Linked DNA regions of Xenopus tropicalis. The protein of the gene in region 1 binds, or shares a complex with, the protein of each later gene. Links are inferred from orthologs where the notes say so. Each region holds a gene or a part of one and is shown on either strand. Other genes may lie near its edges.

Region 1 (3,571 bases):
GGTAAAGGTGATCACAATGGTCCTCAAACTCACAATTTCAAACAGAAATAGATTGACCCAAATAAAATTTCTCCATAGAGTATACCGGACACCTTATGGACTAGCTAAAATATACCCAGTTACTCCAGATACCTGCTACAAATGTGAAGTAGAGGTGGGTATGCGGTTTCATGTTATTTGGCAATGTGTCCATAAACAATGCTTCTGGAAGGATTACATTTTATACATACTAGGTTTGATCTCCCCAACATATGCTTAATGGGCCATACTAAGCCTCTCACTGTCAAGACGTACCAGAGATTGTTCTATTTGCAAATGCTGTATTATGCCAAAAAAGTAATCCTCTTAACATGGAAAACAACTAGACCTCCAACCCTGGCCCAATGAGAAAAAAAATATTAATTACACCCTTCCTCTGAACAAGGCAGAATACTTGGCTAGAGGATGCCCAGACAAATTTATAAATGTGTGGGGTCAATGGCTGGACTTTTCTGAGATGGCAGCAGGAGTAGATTAAGTGCAGGCATAGGCCCTGTAAGAGACGCAGACTAACCCTCACCTAAGCATACCTGAGTGATAAACTATGTACAACAGCCATAATGGCCCTGCAATACACTGACAAATAATGTGTAAACCATACAGCTGAAATTATACAACTAGCTGAATTAATTTGCTTCACTGTAAGACAACATTCTCTTTGCTTCATTATAACTTTCTTTCTGTATGTTATTAACTTAGAGCATCACAACAGTTTAGGTTCATGAGCCCCAGATCACATTCCCAGTCACAATCACAGTACAACAGCTCTGAGGCACAGCTAGGGAATTCATCTCTTACAATGTCCTAATATACACATTTTAATATCTTAACCTTGTACTTTTGTATATCTGCTAAATGCCTTAAAGTGGCTTTAAGAGGCTTAACAATATAAAATGAGTAAAGATAAAGTTGACTAGTGCACAGGGTTAGGTTGATGTGTTTACAATGTTCTACCAAGCAAGGGTTTCTTAGAAAGATATATACAAAATGATGTGCCAAACACAAATAGCCGCCGCTTTGTTCTAGTTTATAATCTTAATCGTGCATAAGAAAATATTTACCTGGTCCATTTTACTATAATCCACTTCCTCATCACTGTCCACTGCCATGGCATCCATGCTGTTCAGAGAAAGAATTGGGTGCAAGTTATCTACTGCTTACACGATGCTTAATTGATTTCCACAGCACATAGCAAACAGTTGCTGTCCCATTAAAGTTAAATTAAATTTAGTTTTGACAAAGGTGGTGTGCTAGGTAACGAACCTCAGCAACCACAGTCACAGACATTCATCCCAGATAAGCAGAAACTTACGTGGCTGGGTAACATTCAGCGTAGCTGTTCCACATTCCAAAGAAATCTCCCACTTGCGTGTCTTCATGTTTCTTCAATGTGGCCATTTATTAAAGATCAAATAAAACTTATTCTTGTGTGTCAAATTATGAGATTCAAGATAAAAAAATGGCATAAGTGACGACAGTATATGACAATCAGGGAGCTTCTAATATTAAAGGGACAGTATACCCCTAAAAACATCTTTGTTTAAAAATTAAATAGGACTTTTGCTGAAATCCTTCTGCCTATTGTTTAAATAAAAAAAGAAACAATATTTTCCAATTTTTTACCATTATAAAGCACTAATATAAAAGTTAGGCTATTTTTATTGACCTCCTCCTTTGGGTGACTTCTGGGAAACGTAGCAACGTGTATGCTATCCCACTGGCGATTTACATTCTTGCTGGTGGGATGGCATTGCGCTGAGATTAGTCGCCCCTGGCAATGAAGATATGTTGCGGGGTGACTAATCTCCCCGTCTGCCACTGTCCTAAACAGTGGCAGACGGGAAGATTAAGCCAATTGCTTAGAACTCCCTATCAACCTCCCTTCTTTAGGCTACTGAATACGCCAATAGTAGACGAAAAAACGAGGTTCCAAGCACTCCGAACCTTCTAAGTTTAAAACATCATCTTTATTGATCCATCAAGACACAAAAGCCTAACGCGTTTCGTGCGCGTGTGCACTTAATCATAGGCCTATGATTAAGTGCGCACGCGCACGAAACGCGTTAGGCTTTTGTGTCTTGATAGATCAATAAAGATGATGTTTTAAACTTAGAAGGTTCGGAGTGCTTGGAACCTCGTTTTTTCGTCTACTATTGGAACTACTCCCTTGGCTGCGGGTTCGGGGCTTTGAGCACCCGAACCATTTTGGGATCCAGGTGAGTGAATCCTGATTGCTAAATTGATTTCATTGATTTTCGTTTGGCTTATAACACATGTGTCAGGTCCGGGGTCTTTACACCCGGACCTCACCTTTTCACTTGGTAAATTTTTCTGTTTATAGATGTATTGATTTAGCCATTCTTTATTTTATTTTTATATTTTTCTTTTTGATTTTTTTTGGTTTGTCATAGATTAATTGACTTTATCTTTGAATTTGTTTGGTACTGAATACGCCCCCATACTGTAAAATTTAGCCTACCTGTGCCTGCACCTGAATGAATGAAATACGCTCGGGTGCAGACACATGTAGCCGATATCCGCCAAAAAACACGAGACTTCATATTTTCGGCGGATATAGGCTACATGTGCCTGCACCCGAGCGTATTCCATTCATTCAGGTGCAGGCACAGGTAGGAGCGTATGGCGCTATTTTTGGCAAGCGTTTTTCGTCTTGCCTAAAATATACGCCATACGCTAAGGCTGTGGCATTAGGCTTCTCAGTGGACAGATATTTAATTTTTTCAGCATCTTTGAAGTTCTTTGGGACCAGAAATGACAGGAAGTGCTAAAAAGGAACTGGCATTATATGCTAGTTTAATGCTCATGTTATAAAGGGGTGTATACTGTTCTTTTAACAGTGGAATGATTTCCACAGATGTGAACAGGAAGAACTGCAGGACACCCTGCATTGGCAATAATCACCCAAAACTATATGCCATAACTCTAATAGGACAATACTGCTCAAAAGGAAGTTTGATGTTCTTGGGAGAGGGATGATAGTAAAGAATACGCCAGTTATTATTCATTAGCATCTCACTCGGAGTCTGCACACATGAGAATAAAAAAAAGTCTGATATAGTGTAAAGTAATACCAAATATTAAATAAATGTGTTTTTAGTGGATAGAAAAACCTATATTGGACAACATGTCACACTCATTGGCTGCTCATTATATCAATGATACAAACAAAATACTGTTCATTTTTGAAAAGGATATGATTCTACTCCCTCCCATCCAGGAGCACCAGCAAAATTCTCATTGATGGATTTTAGAAGGTCCTTGGTAGATCCAGGTCCTGTAAGGAATGGACAAAAGTTTAGATACAAGGTTTCAGGAGTTACATGTTAAAAAACTTTAGGCGGCCAAATTGGGCAAAGATTGCCAGATTAGCAGATCTAATTGTGTAAGGCAGCGCTGTCCAACTGGCGGCCTGCGACCCCCCTCTGTATGGCCCCCCACCTGTCTGGCTGCTTTGATGGCTTACTCTTGTGTAAGCTTTAAATGGTATCAGTACTGTGATTAACTGCCCCCT
Region 2 (3,571 bases), about 3.9 Mb from region 1:
GCATTTCTTGCTCATGATTATAGAGCCAGTTAAATTTGTTGCCAGTTTTGAACCAGAGTTGTTGCTCTAAATTTTTTTTAAATATATGCACTGTAATGGAGTCAACTGTAGAGTCAAGCACCAGGTTTTAAAGACCAACTATGCAGCGCACACAAGCCTTGAGCAGTCTAATCCACATTCTACACAAACAAAAATTTTATTGTATTCTAGAGGCCATGACTAAAATTGGGGCTCTCCAATGCAAGGGTTTACGGACTTAACAAGCTTAAGCTTCCGATTTCTATTTATTTCCATTTTAGAGTCATTTAAAAGGATTTTACTAGAGGAATGCAAATTATTGAGCACAAGCCTGCATAAGGCTTGTCAAAACTCTGTGGCTGACACAATCGATATTTAATGATACGGTACATAATAAACAATCAATCTATAACGGCTGTCCAACAGAGGCCCATAAATCAACAGAAATGTCATGGAACAAGCCATTACATTGGTTTTATAGCACATACATTGCTGTTCATTTATGGGATCTTCAATATAAGGCAATTTCTATATAAAGGGATAAGCCCAGACGATTTCACAATGTGCAGCGAGATCCATAAAAGGGATTTTTTCCGATTATCAGTTCTTTCCCATGTATTTACTTCTGTAGATAGTAAGTGGTACTTAGATTAACGAGCATAGAATGTTCTATTACCATTTACTGCACTTTTAGTGCAGTTCTTACAGCAAAATTCTTAAAAATCTGCAGAATATCCACCGTACAACAATGCAAGGGGCACTCCTCCTCACTTCCTCCCATAGCAGTTTTTTGCATACTAATAAATCTCTAAGGAGCAAGAGCAGGAGGCAGTGCATGGTTAGAGCACCACAAATTAATAGTAATTTCCATGCCATAACAACAGTACATTGTTAAGTAAACTGAAAGAGAGAACACCAATACTCTCACAGCACAGACACCTTCTCAGTTGTTTCCCCCTACCCACCCCAAGAGAGAAAAAGTGGATTCCATTGTACCAGAGAATTATAAGGGTCTGAGGCACCACAGAGAAGGTATCCGACATGAGAATACTGATGTGACCACATTACCTAACAAGTGTAGTCTATGTTGCTCTTACTTTGTGCAGCCCTATCTATCTTCTTCTACCTATCTTCTTGTTTCTTTGAGAATTATTGATACAGGAGATATCGCTGATAAAGATTTCTGAGGTTTTGCCTTATTGACCTGTGGGTATAAGAAGTGTACCAAAATGTGTAGTAGTGGTCACATAGCCATAAGAGCTTTGCTTTGATTAAATATTGGTGTGAGACATTTACAATTGGGTATTCTTTTAAGCAATGTACCAGATTTCAGATGAACAGAGCAACATACACACTCATAGATATTGTAGCTCTCTGTGTCTACGGAGAACGCCTTAGGTGAAGCAAGTAATATTTCCCATTTATTTAGGCCATACACAGGGTACTTGGCATACCAGTGGCCAACACAGCTAAAACACATAATATTAAATAAAAAGCACACAGAGTAACAAAAATGGAGCAGTGAAAGTCCACCTTTATGGCACTTCTACTTATGCATCAGTAGCAGCAGTAACGGTAAGAACCCACGGTTAATCGTCCGCAATAAATCGCTGCTATCTAGGGCGACTAACTAACTCAGAAAAGGCTTTCCACCAGCAACTTCTATTGTTGCTGCTGGAAAGCCCTTTGCATTGCTTTGTTTTTCGAAGTCGCCTGCAGGAGGAAACTTAGTGCAACTTCGGATTACCAAAGCAATGCAAAGGGCTTTCAGCTGGCGGAAAGCCTTTTCGGAGTGGTTAGTTGCCGATGTTAGCAGAGATCTATCATGGAAGACGAACTCGCTCCATGTGTTCTTACCCTAAAGAGTGACTGAAGTTCATCATCAGAGCACAAATCACAAGGGGGCACTAGGGAAAGTAAAAACATGTCTAGCCTCACATCACTTGTTGATATGCTGCTGGGGGGGGGTATAATATAATATCATTCCAACTCACATTGCATCAGTAAAAAGAAACTGAAAGTTTATTAAAGCACAAGCATAGGTATAGGAGTGCGCATGAGTAGCTCTATAAACTGGTGCATTTGTTGACTCCAACTCTCCATCACCACAAATGAGACATAACCTGGTTGTACCTCAACTTTTAAATGGTGATTACATTTATAGTTGAGTCAACATTGTCCTTAGCACATTATATGCTACTTACCCTCCCATTTCAGACTGTGGAGTGGTCTTTGTAATGACAATGGTCTTTCCCAGCTTGGACTCCAGATCCACCTTATAGTCTCTGTGTCGGAGTAATTCCCTCTTAATGGGCTGTAAAGGTTTGCCTAGAACACAATATATGTGCATTTATTGATGTGGATAATTTACACTGCATAAATGAAATTTGCTTATTTTCTACACAAATCCATTGAGCTATTAACCTGTTAAGAATCATGTGCAAAGATCCGAGCCAGCCCTATTTTATCTTATTGGTATTCTATTTATTGTGTGGAAATTCAGTTCAGAGCTGTTTGATTTAATACTGTATGTCTTCTCTCTGCAGGCCGTGGGCACTGCCATGTACAAGACTGCCACTCATACAATACTTGTTGTTTTGCTTTAAATTTTCCTTAGAGCACGGACAGATAAGGCAAATAATCGCCTGCAGGAAATCTTCTCTCCACAGGTAACAAAGCTCCCAAAAATACCTGGCAATTCAAGTTGCAGAGGGGCAGGTATTTTCAGGCACTTCAGGAGAAGAGATTTCTCAGACAGTAAAGCACCCCATCTGTCATAGGCCTTATAGGCTTTTTTTGCGGTCAAAGCTTTGATAGGCTAGACATTTTATGAAATCAAATGATCTCCTGGAGACCAATAAAATGCAAAGCATAGTAGTACAGCTCTAAATGGATCCTAACTGCTTGTGGTTAAGTACCCATTATAGCAAACAGATGCTTATGTTTATCAAAGATTAAAAGGACGTCGGAATACCAGGGATATACAACCTGAAGCCCTTGTTAAACTACAAATCTTAGCACTGCTGACATGATAATTTATATGACACCAATTAAATCCCTTTTTCTCTGATGGATTTTAAGTTAACTTTTAGTATGTATGATACAGTTTCAGCGACGTTTCATTTGGTCTTCATTTTTTTTTTAATATTTGCTTTCCTCTTCTGACCCTTTATAGCTTTTAAATGGGGGTCACTTAGCCCAGCAGCCAAAAAAATATTGCTCTTTGAGGCTAGTTTCACGGTTAGCGTTACTTTTTATTACATACCTTTCTATCCAGACCCTCTCCTATTTGTATCCCAGCTTCTCATTTGAACAACTGCCTGGTTTCTAGGGTTATTTGGACCCTAGAAACCATATAGCTGCTAGAATTTGAAACTGGAGAGTTGCTGGATATAAAGCTAAATAATTACAAAAACTACAAATAAAAAATGAAGACCAGATGCAGATTGTTTCAGAGTAGCACTCTCTACTACATTCTAAAAAGGTGAACAACCCCTTTAAGTATTTACCGCTAAGGGCCAGGCAGATAAGGCCAGGTGCATACATTTACAGG

The links. The genes of interacting proteins can lie anywhere in the genome.
Region 2: ik (region 1) and zmat2 share a complex: the UniProt entries of both Homo sapiens proteins name them as parts of the spliceosome B complex. The link is inferred for Xenopus tropicalis from reciprocal best matches to the Homo sapiens genes IK and ZMAT2.

Annotation. Positions count from the first base shown.
Region 1 is NC_030679.2:22,987,782-22,991,352, reverse strand, and holds part of ik (protein Red), read right to left. Parts: intron 3,335-3,571; coding exon 3,256-3,334; intron 1,430-3,255; coding exon 1,352-1,429; intron 1,159-1,351; coding exon 1,101-1,158; intron 1-1,100. UniProt on the Homo sapiens protein: Involved in pre-mRNA splicing as a component of the spliceosome. Auxiliary spliceosomal protein that regulates selection of alternative splice sites in a small set of target pre-mRNA species. Required for normal mitotic cell cycle progression.
Region 2 is NC_030679.2:26,873,145-26,876,715, reverse strand, and holds part of zmat2 (zinc finger matrin-type protein 2), read right to left. Parts: intron 2,347-3,571; coding exon 2,223-2,346; intron 1-2,222. UniProt on the Homo sapiens protein: Involved in pre-mRNA splicing as a component of the spliceosome.